2 linked regions of the Anolis sagrei genome follow. The protein of the gene in region 1 purifies or fractionates together with the protein of each later gene. This does not show direct contact. Links are inferred from orthologs where the notes say so. Each region holds a gene or a part of one and is shown on either strand. Other genes may lie near its edges.

What was found. Proteins that work in one complex are often made in the same cells at the same time.
Region 2: the proteins of PPP2R2A (region 1) and CDCA4 purify together in Homo sapiens (affinity purification with mass spectrometry; 4 studies listed by BioGRID and IntAct, with this or other methods). This does not show direct contact. The link is inferred for Anolis sagrei from reciprocal best matches to the Homo sapiens genes PPP2R2A and CDCA4.

What each region holds. Positions count from the first base shown.
Region 1 is NC_090027.1:6,823,457-6,831,192, forward strand, and holds the start of PPP2R2A (serine/threonine-protein phosphatase 2A 55 kDa regulatory subunit B alpha isoform), read left to right. Parts: upstream 1-4,691; 5' UTR 4,692-4,706; coding exon 4,707-4,833; intron 4,834-5,412; coding exon 5,413-5,490; intron 5,491-7,736. UniProt on the Homo sapiens protein: Substrate-recognition subunit of protein phosphatase 2A (PP2A) that plays a key role in cell cycle by controlling mitosis entry and exit. Involved in chromosome clustering during late mitosis by mediating dephosphorylation of MKI67.
Region 2 is NC_090021.1:328,645,899-328,653,261, forward strand, and holds the start of CDCA4 (cell division cycle-associated protein 4), read right to left. Parts: upstream 3,067-7,363; 5' UTR 2,962-3,066; intron 1-2,961. UniProt on the Homo sapiens protein: May participate in the regulation of cell proliferation through the E2F/RB pathway. May be involved in molecular regulation of hematopoietic stem cells and progenitor cell lineage commitment and differentiation.

The DNA of each region.
Region 1 (7,736 bases):
GGGTTATTTTACAGAGAGATTGAAACCTGTGTGGAAATTGCAGCTTGTTGATTTGCGAGATACTTAACAGTTTTGGCTACAAAGACTTAGATTGTATCTTGTTGATTTGCAAGATACTTAACAGCATGTGTGAGTGGCTGATCCAGGTCCATCATTTCCATGCAACATGGGGAGTTTCTTACAGAGAGATTGAAATCTGTGTGGAAATTGCAGCTTGTTGATTTGCACGATACTTAACAGCATGTGTGAGTGGCTGATCCAGGTCCATCATTTCCATGCAACCTGGGGAGTTTCTTGCAGAGGGATTGAAAGCTGTGTGGAAATTGCAGCTTGTTGATTTGCGAGATACTTAACAGTTTTGGCTACAAAGACTTTTAGATTAGGTTGCATGTGTGAATGCCTGACCTGGGTTCATCATTTCCATGCAACCTGGGTTTTTGTTTACAGAGAGATTGAATGCTGTGTGGAAATTTCAGTTTGTTGATTTGCAAGACACTTAATAGCTTTGGCTGCAAAAAGCAAGTTTTAGATTGGGCTGCATGTGTGAATGGCTGACCTGGGTTCATCATTTCCATGCAACCTGTTTCTTACAGAGAGATTGAAAGTTGTGTGGAAATTGCAGCTTGTTGATTTGCCAGACACCATCAGCTTTTGCTGCAAAAAGCGAGTTTTAGATTAACCTGTATGTGTGAATGCCTAACCTGGGTTCAGCATTTCCATGCAACATGGCATATCCTGGAGTATTTCTTACAAAGAGATTGAAAGCTGTTTGGAAATTACAGCTTGTTGATTTGCAAGACACTAATAGGTTTGGCTGCAAAAAGCGAGTTTTACCTTGGGTTGCATGTGTGAATGGCTGACCTGGGTTCATCATTTCCATCATTTCAAATCCTGGAGGGTTTCTTACAGATTAAAACCTGTGTGGAAATTGCAGCTTGTTGATTTGCAAGGCACTAACAGATTTCGCTGCAAAAAGCGAGTTTTTGATTGAGCTGCATGTGTGAATGCCTAACTTGGGTTCAACATTTCCATGCAACATGGCATATCCTGGAGTGTTTCTTACAGAGAGATTGAAAGCTTTGTGGAAATTGCAGCTTGTTGATTTGCAAGACACTAAGAGCTTTGGCTGCAAAAAGCGAGTTTTAGATGTGTGAATGGCTGACCTGGGTCCATCATTTCCATGCAACCTGGGCATGTCTTACAGAGAGATTGAAACCTATGTGGGAATTGCAGCTCGTTGATTTGCAAGACACTCACAACTTTGGCTGCAAAAAGCGAGTTTTAGATTGGGCTGCATGTGTGAATGTCTGACCTGGGTCCATCATTTCCATGCAACCTGGGCATGTCTTACAGAGAGATTGAAACCTATGTGGGAATTGCAGCTCGTTGATTTGCAAGACACTCACAACTTTGGCTGCAAAAAGCGAGTTTTAGATTGGGCTGCATGTGTGAATGGCTGACCTGGGTCCATAATTCCCATGCAATCTGGGGGTTTCTTACAGAGAGATTGAAAGCTGTGTGGAAATTGCAGCTTGTTGATTTGCAAGACACTTGACAGTTTTGGCTGCAAAGTGCGGGTTTTGGATTGGGATGTATGTGTGAATGGCTGACCTGGGTCCATCGTTTCCATGCTGGTGGTTTCTTACAGACAGAATAAAACCTGTGTGGAAATTGCAGCTTGTTGATTTACAAGACATGTAATAGCTTTGGGTGCAAAAAATGAGTTTTAGATTGGGCAGCATGTATGAATGGCTGACCCGGGTTCATCATTTCCATGCAACACAACATCTGGAGGATTTCTCACAGAGAGATTGAGACCTGTGAGGAAATTGCAGCTTGTTGAGCTTGCATGGTTTGAAAATGCAAAAGATCCACCCTTCTGCAAACCCTTCTTCAGTTTCCTCTCTACCTTGCAATCTGTTCACAAACACAAAGATTCAGAATCTGGCAACATGGGCCAGATTGTGTTGAGGTTTGTGTTGAGGTTTGTGTTGAGGTTTGTGTTGAGGTTTGTGTTTGTCTCCAATCTTTCCACCAAGAAAGCTTTGAATGGAGGGAGGTTGTGAGTACTGCCAAAGAAACCCCGCGTTTTCTGCATGAGTTATTTTTCTCCTGCAGGCAAATCCGTCAATGGGATTTGCCTGCATTTATTCAGAGTGGCTTCTTCTGAGGCTGAGAGAGTGTGGCTTACCTAAAATTGTTTTCCACAACTGAATGGAGATTCAGACTCGGCTTTCCCAGTGTCCTTAGTCCAAAACCACCCTAACCGTTTTCCATGAGTGCATCTAAACTGTCAAATTAACACAGTTTGACACCATTGTGACTGCCACAGCCTATTGCTACGAAATCCTGGGAGTTGTAATAATTTTGTGTAGTACTCTGGCAGAGAAAGCTCAGGACGCATTGTCGAAGGCTTTCATGGCTTGAATCACTAGGTTGCTGTGAGTTTTTCGGGCTGTAAGGCCATGTTCCAGAAACATTCTCTCCTGACGTTTCGCCCACATCTATGGCAGGCATCGTCAGAGGTTGTGTTTCTTTTTTTTTTTGTGAAGTTTTTAAAATTTTTATTTATAAATTTATCAAACAAAATGCATAAGCATACATTCTTCCCACTTTTTACAACATCGTAGACAGAAGAGTATGTCATATTATATACAATCTAACAGTAAAAAAGAATCAAAAACATCTTTAAACATATTTCTTATCTTTTTAAAACTTTCCATACACCTTATACTATGTATACCTCTACCACACACCTTTTATCTACTTATACATACTTTATTTCTTTATAATTAGTATTTTGTCATTTTCCCCCTCTTCCCCTTAGTTTCTAATATAATTTCTGTTCTAGTTTTATTTTGCTGTAACATGTTGTCCGGGCTTGGCCCCATGTAAGCCGCTCCGAGTACCCATTGGGGAGATGGTTGGCGGGGTATAAATAAAATTTATTATTATAATATAGTTTCCAATATACTTCACAACCTCTGAGGATGCGTGACATAGATGTGGGTGAAATGTCAGGAGAGAATGCTTCTGGAACATGGCCATAAAGCCTGGAAAACTCACAGCAACCCAAAGCTTAGGACCTTTCAAAATTTTAACTCCCAGTATCCCATTGCAAAGAGCAATGGTAGTCCAAGTGCTGTTGAACTACATTCAGTTTGCAATGTGCTTATTTTTTATTTATTTACGACATTTATATGCCACCCTTCTCACTCCGAAGGGAACTCAGAGCGGCTTACAAGATATATATACATGCAATATATTGTATTATTAGCATAGTACAATATCAATAGTATTGTCGAAGGCTTTCATGGCTGGAATCACTAGGTTCTTGTGGGTTTTTTCGGGCTATAGGGCCATGTTCTAGAGGCATTTCTCCTGATGTTTTGCCTGCATCTATGGCAAGCATCCTCACTACCTCTGAGGATGCTTGCCATAGACGCAGGCGAAACAGGAGAAATGCCTCTAGAACATGGCCCTATAGCCCGAAAAAACCCACAAGAACCTAATATCAATAGTGTAGATGCAATTTATAGTGTAGATCAGGGATCCTCAAACTATGACTTGGGGGCCGGATACAGCCCTCAAAGTTCATTTATCCATCCCTCGCTCAGGGTCAACCTAAGTCTGAAACAACTTGAAAGCACACAACAACAATCCTATCTAATCAACAAAAGCAGGCCCACATTTCCCATTGAAATACTAATAAGTTTATATTTGTTAAAATCGTTCTTCATTTTCATTATTGTATTATTTTTAGTGTTTTTGCACTACAAATAAGATATGTGCTGTGTGCATAGGAATTTATTCATTTTTTTCCAAATTATAATCTGGCCCTCCAAGAGTTTAAGCAAGCCCACATTTCCCATTGAAATACTAATACATTTATATTTGTTAAAATCGTTCTTCATTTTAATTATTGTATTATTTTAAGTGTTTTTACACTACAAATAAGATATGTGCAGTGTGCATAGGAATTTTTTTTCCAAATTATAATCCAGCCCTCCAAGAGTTTGAGCGACTGTGACCTGACCCTCTCTTTAAAAAGTTTGAAGACCCCTGGTGTAGATCAAGCCTTGGCAAACTTTGGGTCTCTGGGTATTTAGGACTGCAGCTCCCACAATTCCTAACAGCTGGTAGTTTGCCCATGCCTGGTATAAATGCAGTCTTAAACCCCCCCCTAAAAAAAAAAGAAGAAAAGAATTTGAAATGTATAGAAAACACACTGTAATCTTCAGGAGGCCTTGTTTACCTCTTCGGCAAGGTTGTTTTGAATCAGTGTATTGAACTATAATTACAAAGTAAAATACCTTTTTTCCAGTTCAGCGTGGTGCCCAAATAGGGAGCAACGTTTTCTTTTCACAAAGTAACAAAGGAAGATGGAAATAGAACACTTGTGGATTGTTTGCGCTTTTCCTGTGCTCTGATGGCTGTGTGGCGATGGAGTGACCACTCTTCCCCTTCTGGCTTGAACTTTTTCTTAAGTTGCTTGATTGTTGCTGTTGTTGTTTTTTTTAAGGAAGGGAGGAACTCCTCCCTCTCTTGCTCCATCCCCTTGGTCAAGATGCCACGGTTACGCAGCTGTTTTCACACACACGCACACACACACATCTTCGTTTTCAGGGGAAATATTCAGGGAAAGCTCCATTTTGATAACTGCCTTTCAGCTTCCTCCACGAGCCTTACCCAATGACTTGCTCCGAATGACATGTCCAAGAAATGGGTGGCGTGTCTTTGGCATGTTTGGGTGGAAGGTTCAAATGATTCACCGCCTTCCTTCTGCCGGGGCAGGAATGTTCTTGAAGCTTTCTCTCCGGTCCATCTTTTACGGTAGTTTCAAGTTTATTTGTAACTGAGGTGACTTCTTCAAGTTTCAGAATTATAGATTTCTTTTATAACAACAATCTTAAGTTTTATTCTTGTTCTACTTTCTGTAAATGGCAGAAATGAAGTTGTCAACAAATTAAAAAAATGTTCCCTTATGCTGCTTCACTCCTGATTCTAGTAACTTAGAAGTAAAGTTCCAAAGTTTGTGTGTGAGAGAAAGTTTGGTTTGTAAGAAGAGCAGTCATGCATTGTGTGTTGTGTATCTTCAGAGTGTGACAGCTTATGAAGTTGAGTAGTTGTGACCTGTCTTTGTAGAGAAACTGATTGCGACTGTGTTCATTTGGACACATCCCTAGTGACAAAAATGTTGTGGGCTGTGTTGAGGGACAATAAGAAGAGCTTGCAAGTAACTTTCTGCTTTGGAAATACTCTTCGCCTTTGTGGGCGTGGTGGGTGCTCCCTTTACATTTCCTATCCTTGCCAACAATCGCTGGGTATCAGACTGGAATGCTAACATTGTGCAGTCAAGCTTAATAACCAGGGTGTTGCCCAGCTTTTATTTAACTTTTGTTTTGTTTCTAGGAGCCGGTGGCGGCGGGAATGACATTCAGTGGTGTTTTTCTCAGGTGAAAGGGGCTGTGGATGATGATGTAGCAGAAGGTAAGAACAAGATCTGATTTAACCTGTTTGTATTATTAACAGCAGTAGGATTCTGGTACTGGTAGTTTATTAGGTATTACTTGAAATTATTGTTTATTGTATTCTCATGTTTTATTTAGTTTACTGTGTTGATTGTTCTGTATTCTGGTTTTATTTTATTGTAATGTTCTGTTGGGCTTGGCCTCATGTAAGCCGCCCCGAGTCCCCATTGGGGAGATGGTGGCGGGGTATAAATAAAGTTTATTATTATTATTTGAAACACAACAAGATGAGTCCACAGCAGACAAGATCACTTTGCTGGCTGTTGTATTGGATTACACATCGGACAATTCCCAAGTGTTTAGGACTGTGTGATGTATCGGTGAATGATGCATGCAGATCCCAGTAAGGTGGCCTTCTGCAGCTGGCAGATGGTAATCTTGTCAGCGCCGATTGTGTTTAAGTGCAGGCCAAGGTCTTTAGGCACTGCACCCAGTGTGCCGATCACCACTAGGACCACCTTGACTGGCTTGTGCCAGAGTCTTTGCAGTTCGATGTTTAAATCCTCATATTGTGTCAGCTTTTCCAGATTATTATTATTATTATTATTATTATTATTGTGTCACCCCAAGTTTGTATTCCTTGTGTCAACAGTAAATTGTGAAAGCTTGAACCTTGCGTCACACAGCAGCTTTTCTATATACAGTCCCTGGGTTTTTACCTCGTTGCTCCATGTGATATCAGGCTACTTAATTATGTGTCTTTAGGTGAGCAATATTATCAGCAGTGAAATTATTTTAGTACTATCCCTTTTATTAAGTATTTCTTGAAATCTCCTTGTTTCACCCAAGTTTTAGTTCCTTATCTCCATATGTGAACAGCAAGTGTTCAGAATATTTATTTATTTATTTACGGCATTTATATGCCGCCCTTCTCACCCTGAAGGGGCTCAGAGCGGCTTAGAATGTATATTTTCATACAATATATTATATTATTAGCATAGTACAATGTCAGTATATATTACTATATATCCTGATAATATCCATCCTTTGACAACGCATCCATCCTCAAATATATTCTAAGAAATTGGATATGTAGTTAGATTAGTCCTTCACAATGTGCTTATCTCTAAAGGTCCTAGATTATGATTCCAACACTCTTATAGCCAGTAACTTGGTACAACTTTCTGATATAGCTGAATAAGCCACCCAGTTTGACACACATGATGCTGAGTGGAAACATCACACAAGTTATGTAAAATTTATTTTTCAGAAGAACTGTTATGTTGTTTTCTTCAAGTTAACCTATATTTAATGCTTCTCCCATCTTTGTATACATTTTCTGAGGAGACTTTAAATTGCAGTACAATTTTTAGCATATGGAGTTAAATGCTTGGTGTAATGTCATGGGAGATGGAGAATACATGATGAGGAGAGGGGCACAACTCAATGTAGGACAGCAGTTTTTAGTGTCATCTGTGCTCCATGTGAAACGGGGAGCATGAGGCCTCCCAGGTGCTGTGATATTTGCATTTAGCTCAAAGATTGAGAAATCCTCCTTATACCATGACTACAACTTCCATCATCTCTCAACATTGCATGTCGTAATCGAGCGGTATCTGCATGATCACAGAGTTGTTGTTTGTGCTCTAAATACATCACACTTGTAGTCGCCAGCTGTGATGAAGACTATCTTTGTTTGCAATTGAACTGGATGTCAGTGCATTTTCCTTTTAGTAAATGAATACAGACACAAATTTTTGCTCTGTACACATTCACTATTGAATGATATGTTTTTCTAGCAAGAAACAGTCAGACAAGTCCAGTGTTGTCTGATCCTTGATAGTATCCTTCAAATCTTGAAAGTCTATCATGCATTTGGAATATAATTACTAGGGGATGCTATGCATACTAGGTAGCCAGGACTTGAGTCATTTTCAGAACTTATTCTAAAAAAACCCTTTGTTTGAGAATTGCTTTGTTTTTGAGAAGCTCTGTGATTCATGCTGCATGCACTGTGTCAAATGGTTATTTTGCATTTGATCCATTGTCTCCTTAAAACAAAATATGTCTAATACTGTATATAAGCCTAGTTTTCAGCCCTTTTTTTAGGCTGAAAAAGCTCCCCTCTGCTTATACTCGAGTCAAGGCTATTTATTCTTTTATTCTGTTATTAGTATTTTTATTTTATGTATTTTATTACATTTACAGTATTTTACTCTATTATTATGATTATTATTACATTTATTATATTTTATTATTATTGCA
Region 2 (7,363 bases), on another chromosome or scaffold:
CTACTCTGGAACATGCAACATATAATTGTCCTTCTTTAGGGGTCCCTTTCAAATCTATGATACTATGTGTGTGCGTCTCATATTTATCTATCTATCTATCTATATCTATGGATTGGTGGCTCTTTGTCAGAAGGGCTTTGATTACATTTTCTTGCCCTGGTGAAGACAGCTGGACTGGTTGGCCTTAAGTATTTTCTGTTGGCCATGGGGGTTCTGTGTGGGAAGTTTGCCCCAATTCTATCATTGGTGGCGTTCAGAATGCTCTTTGATTGTAGATGAACTATAAATCCCACTAAATACAACTCCCAAATGTCAAGGTCTATTTTCCCCAAACCTCATCTGTGTTCGTATTTGGGCATATGGAATATTCGTGCCAAGTTTGGTCCATACCCATCATTGTTTGAGTCCACTGTGCTCTCTGGATATAGATGAACTACAACTCCCAAACTCAAGGTCAATGCCCACCAAATCCTTCTAGTGTTTTCTGTTGGTCATGGGAGTTCTGTGTGCCACATTTGGTTAAATTCCATCATTGGTGGAGTTCAGAACGCTCTTTGATTGTATGTGAACTATAAATCCCAGCAAGTACAACTCCCAAATGACAAAATCATAATTTTTTGAGTGATGGGCACTCCTTGTGTTGCAAGATGTTTTGTTGCCAATTTTGATGTGATTTTGTTCATTGGTTCTTTTGTTTTTAAGGTACTCATTATGCACAGAGCATCCATATATATATATGGCAGGGGATGGCTAGTTTTAAATAGAAGTATGTGTATATATATTATTATTATTTGTTGAAATTCCCTAAAACCCATTAAAGACTGTATAAAGGGCCTGGACAAACTTGGTCCCTCCCTCCAGGTGTTTTGGACTTCAACTCCCACAATTCCTTTTTTAAAAAAAATATATTTTTATTGTTTTATCATAGTTATTACATTTGTTATACATTTGTTTATAGCAGTTACATATTATTCAGCACACTCTTTAACATATAGTCTTATTCTGCTTAAGCATTTCCCCCCTTTTTTTCCCACCACTGTGCTTCCCTCCCCCCAACTCAAGCCACAACTTTTACATATCATTTGTCCAAAATCTCATTTCTTCTTGTGGCGGTAAATTTTTTAAACCATTTACAACAAATTTTCCCCATACAACATCAAAATCACTTTTTTTCCATATACCTTTTTTTAACTTTTAATATACATGTCAGCTTATCGTTTATTGCCAGTTTCCATGCTTCCTTGTACCACTCCTCTATTTGTATATTTATTTCTTTTTTCCAGTTCCTTGCTATGAGCAGTCTTGCTATTGTTAATAAGTTTGTTATCACTTCTTTATCCTCCTTTTTCAATTGTTTATTGTTATATAATGATAATAAAGCTATACTAGGACTTTTCTCAATTTTCATATACATTATCTCTCTTATTTCTCTAAATACTTTCTCCCAAACATTACTTACATATTTACATTGCTACCACATATGTATGTATGTTCCTGGTTCTTGACATCCTCTCCAACAATTTTTGAATTACTTTTATTTATATATTCTATTTTTACTGGTGTCAAGATACCACTTCCATATTAGCTTATTATAATAATTTTCTTGAACCCGTATTGATAATTCTTTTAAATGTCTTTGTCTCCATAATTGTTGCCACTCTGTTTCGTTTATTTTTATCCCTAAATCTTCTTCCCAAACCTCTTTGAGGGTGTTGTTTTTTGTGTTTCCTTCCTTTATTTCAATTATGATCTTATATATTTTACTAGTTCAGTGGTTCTCAACCTTCCTAATGCCGTGACCCCTTAATACAGTCCCTCATGTGGTGGTGACCCCCAACCATAATATTGTTTTCATTGCTACTTCATAACAGTCATTTTACTACAGTTATAATATAATGTAAATATATAATGTAAATATCTGATATGCAGGATGCATTTTCATTCACTGGACCAAACTGGGCACAAATACCCAATACACTCAAATGTGAATGCTAGTGGGGTTGGAGGAGGATTGATTTTGTAATTTGGGAGTTGTAGTTGCTGGGATTTATAGTTCACTTATCAAAGAGCATTCTGAACTCCACCAGCAATGGATTTGAACCAAACTTGGCTCCCATGACCAATGGAAAACACTGGAAGGGTTTGATGGTCATTGACCTTGAGTTTGGGAGTTGTAGTTCACCTATATCCAGAGAGCAGTGTGGACTCATGCATTGGTGGATCTGGACCAAACTTGGCACGAATACTCAATATGCCCAAATGTGAACACTGGTGGCGTCTGGGGGAAATAGATCTTGACATTTGGGAGTTGTAGTTGCTGGGATTTATAGTTCATTACAATCAAAGAACATTCTGAACTCCACCAACGATAGAATTGGCTCAAACTTCCCACATGGAATCCCCATGACCATCAGAAAATACTGTGTTTTCTTATGGTCTTTGGTGACCCCTCTGACACCCCCTCGCGACCCCCAGGTTGAGAAACACTGACCTAGTTCTTTCTCTCAAATTTTCATGCTCTTCTACAACCCTTCCATTCTGTATTATTTGTTCAAATTGGTTAAGTTTGCTTCCATAAGCGGCTGAGGGGGTAAAGGAAAGGACCTGAGGCTGTTAGGAATTGTGGGAGTTGTAGTCCAAAACACCTGGAAGGAGGGACCAAGTTTGCCCAGGCCTGCTGTAAAATGTGGCTTTCAAAGACTACAAAGCCCCTCCTGGCTCGCTCCTGATCCACTTCCTTCTGAAAAGAGAGGCTTCAGCGTGGGCCTGTGTGATACTCCAGAGCCTGCTCCTCCTCCGCCGCCATTTTGGAGCCGCGGCCCAGTGACCCTTGGCGGGCTCCTCTTCTTCGGAGGGCTCCGCCGCGGCTTCCCTGCCGCCACGCCGAGGCCTAGCTTCCGAGCGTCACGCCGGAAAGGCCCCCTCCGCTCCCTGGCGCGCCCGCGGCCCCGATGGGCTTACCTTCCGCCCGGACGAAGCCACGGCGCTCGCTCGCCCGCCCGCTCGCCTCAACGCTCTCCTCCGCGCCTGAGAGAAAAGGGGCGGGGCCAACGGCCGCAGAGGCCACGCCCCCTCCGCTCACTCGCGCGCCCCTCCCCGCCACCTCATTGTCACACTCCACAAAGGAGCCCGCTGCCGCCTGTGGCCACGCCCCTCATCCCTCTCTCTCTTTTCATTGGAGGAGGGACTGAACCTTCGCTTCCTATTGGTGGGCAAGGAAAGGAGGGGTTTTCTCTCTGTGATCGAATGTGCCTTCAGAGTTGCTATGGTTACTAGCCCCTCCCGCCATTCATTGCTCCGCTCTCGGCTTCCTATTGGCGGTTGCTGGATTAGCCCCGCCCCTTCGCTGTAAGTGGCTGGCGCCAGGAAAGGCAAGTTTCAAATGCCTGCCAAAGCTTATGAGAAACTATAAACTACACAGAGAAGCCATTGAAACTACACATATAAACTACACAGAGAAGCCATTGAAACCCATACGTTTTGCATGGTTACCTAATGCTTTAGCTTTGCTCGTGGACCAGATGGTTTGTTTGTTTTAATTATAGTATTCTCCACTCATTGTTTCTGTTTTAATGGATTTTGAAACATTATTATTGTTGTTAACACATATTATTATATTCTGCCAGTAATGTCAACGACTTAAATCAAGACATAGTTTTCTTAGATCTACAGAGACACTCGCTGGAACACCCCAGCAAGCGAGAGTCCAAAAGTGGCAGGCCCAAACTCAGCACCTCAATTCATGGGTGATACCAGATGAGAGACTCCCCCCTGGGCACTCAGAAGACTGGGTGACTTGGAAGGCACTGAACAGACTGCGCTCTGGCACCACGAGATGCAGAGCCAATCTTAAGAAATGGGGCTACAGGGTGGAAACCTCGTCATGCGAGTGCGGAGAAGAGCAAACCACTGACCACCTGCTGCAATGCACCCTGAGCCCTGCCATATGCACAATGGAGGACCTTCTTGCGGCAACACCAGAGGCACTCCAAGTGGCCAGATCCTGGTCAAAGGACATTTAACCAACTACCAAGTTTGCAAAATCTGTGTGTTTTTTTCTTTTTCTTTTTAATCTGTGTGTTTGTTTTGCTCTGTTAGAATTGTAATACAATGGTATGGTTGCTGATGACACGATAAATAAAGTAATGTCACTCAAGGTAATACATAGCATAGCAATTAACAATTATACAAAAGTATACATAACTCTATTTCTGCTTCATTGACTACTCTAAAGCCTTTGACTGTGTGGATCATAATAAATTGTGGCAAGTTCTTGGTGGGATGGGCATACCAAGCCACCTTGTCTCTCTCCTGAGGAATCTGTACAAGGACCAAGTAGCAACAGTCAGAACTGACCACGGAACAACAGACTGGTTCAAGATTGGGAAAGGCGTACGGCAAGGCTGCATACTCTCACCCAACCTTTTTAACTTGTATGCAGAACACATCATGCGATGTGCGGGGCTGGATGAATGCAAAGCTGGGGTGAAAATTGCTGGAAGAAACATTAACAACCTCAGATATGCAGATGACACCACTCTGATGGCCGAAAGCGAGGAGGAGCTGAAGAGCCTTCTAATCAAGGTGAAAGAAGAAAGCACAAAAGCTGGGTTGCAGCTAAACGTCAAAAAAACCAAGATCATGGCAACAAGAATGATTGACAACTGGAAAATAGAGGGAGAAAATGTGGAGGCCGTGACAGACTTTGTATTTCTAGGTGCAAAGATTACTGCAAATGCAGACTGTGGCCAGGAAATCAGAAGACGCTTACTTCTTGGGAGGAGAGCAATGTCCAGTCTCAATAAAATAGTAAAGAGTAGAGACATCAGACTGGCAACAAAGATCCGTCTAGTCAAAGCCATGGTATTCCCTGTAGTAACCTACGGATGTGAGAGCTGGACCTTAGGGAAGGCTGAGCGAAGGAAGATGCTTTTGAGCTGTGGTGTTGGAGGAAAGCTCTGAGAGTGCCTTGGACTGCGAGAAGATCCAACCAGTCCATCCTCCAGGAAATAAAGCCCGGCTGCTCACTGGAAGGAAGGATACTAGAGACAAAGTTGAAGTACTTTGGCCACATCATGAGGAGATAGCAAAGCCTGGAGAAGACAATTATGCTGGGGAAAGTGGAAGGTAAAAGGAAGAGGGGCCGACCAAGGGCAAGATGGATGGATGGCATCCTTGAAGAGACTGAACTGACCTTGAAGAAGCTGGTGGTGGTGACGGCCGACAGGGAGCTCTGGCGTGGGCTGGTCCATGAGGTCACGAAGAGTCGGAGATGACTGAATGAATGAACAACAACAAATTCTTCCATATGGCAATGGCTGCAAGAATTGTACTAGCAAGAAAATGGAAGAATAAAGAGAAACCAACGGTGGAAGAATGGATGTTTAAACTCCTAGACATAATAAATATGGACACTCTAACACAGCACCTGGAATATAAACAGACGACTGGCATAGCCAGGACAGATTGGTCTCCAATCAAAAAATACTTCAATGTCAACCAGACCTAGACATGTGAGAGTCAAGACTAGAAAATAATACTAACACTAACAATGTTATATGGGGCAAAATCAGTAATTAAGATCACGAACTCTCCCCGACCCATTTCCTACTCCCTGTACTCCCTTCACTCACCTCTACCCCCTCCCCCACCCCAATCCTTATCATTTGCTTTTACGTAATTGTTGTGTCGACGATTCTCATAACATGGATGTATCCCCCATGTAGAAAACTCTTAATAAAAATTTTAATTTTTTTTCCTGCTTCTTGGCAGGGGGTTGGACTTGATGGCCCTCGAAGTCTCTTCCAACTATGATACTATGATTTGGGGACATGGAGGTCTCATTCATAAGCTTGCCATAAGTCGAAGGTGACTTGATGGCAGTTAGGAGCAACTTTCCTTCCGCTGTTCTTGGGTGGTTCTGCTGCATTTCTTCTCTTCTTCTCCCTTTCCCTTCCAGCTTGCCTGGCCTGTTCTTGCACCTTTGCCAATCCTTTGGCTGCTTCTTCTGCTGAGCTTGGCTTGAAAGGCCTTGGGCGCTTTCCAGAGTTGGCTGGCTGCCTTTTCTGATCAGGAGGGAGGAGGGGAAAGGCAGGTTTGCTCCAGGCGACAAGGAGAAAAGAGGAGAGAAAGGCAGCGGGAGGCAGCAGCCTTGCAGCTCCTGACTTGCAGCTTTCTTTGGGAAGGGAAGAGGAGGTTCAAAAACTGGAAACAGAAAGGCAGGAGGAAACGGCCAGAGATTTCTATCTAAGCACCCAGGAAAGGCAAACAAGCTCAACGCGATAGAAAGAAGGGAAGAAAGGAGAAAAAGGGGAATCTGTAAACACCAAAAGATACAGTATTTCAGTATGTATTGGCCATCAATGGGGTGCTGTTACAATATTTCCAAACTCACACTACAGCTTCATTCAATCAATCCCATAAAGCAGAGATTTCCAAACATTTCATGTTGGTGACACACGTTTTAGACCTGCATCATTTCGTGGCACACTCATTCAGTTTTTCTCTCAAATTGGAGATTAAACCTGTTGGGAGCATGTAAAAATCAGTTCGGGACTGTGTTATTTGTTTATTTATTTGCTGTCTTTGTATACCGCCCTTCTCAGCCCTCAGGCGACTCAGGGCGGTTTACAGAGGCAATGACTCGATGCCCAATACACCATAATAATAATAATAATCATCATCATCATCTTTATTTATACCCCCCACCATCTCCCCAATGGGGACTCATGGTGGCTAACATGAGGTCAAGCCCAAAAAATACAGTACAACTGTCGCAACTTAGGGTAGTTTTCACCTTGCTCAAGACACCACCATACACCAAAGCTGTAGGTTTTGTAGTTTATTGAGAAAAAGCAAAATCAAAACAGAGAAATAAATATGCAAAAATTCAATAGGCAAAACAGAGTCTTAAATGCAAAGACAAGCTTCACAAGATCCACAGGCAAATAGCATGAAGCATAATCCCTTAGCAATGTCAAACAAGAGTCCATGGCAAACAGGTAAAATCAGGATCAGAATCAAGTCTCAAAGGAGCCAGAGGTGTTCCGCAAAAGCCAAGGTAATTCCACAGAAGTTAATGGGTAAGAAGCAACATTGGGCTGACAAGAAATGCCTGTCAGCTACATCGTTAAATAAGTTTACCTGACATGAAAGCATTGCGTTGACCTTTGGCTTCCTTCTTGCTGGCAAGGCATGTGTTTCTGCAAAGCCTTAATTGCAAACGATCCTGTCTGCTCATTAATTCACCATTATCTTCAAGGCTATACAACTGCTTATCTTGGCCCAGCTGGGCCGGTTCACTCGGAACCAAAAGGAGTCTCCACCTGCACTTGTGGAATTTCACTATCTCTATCTAAAGGCA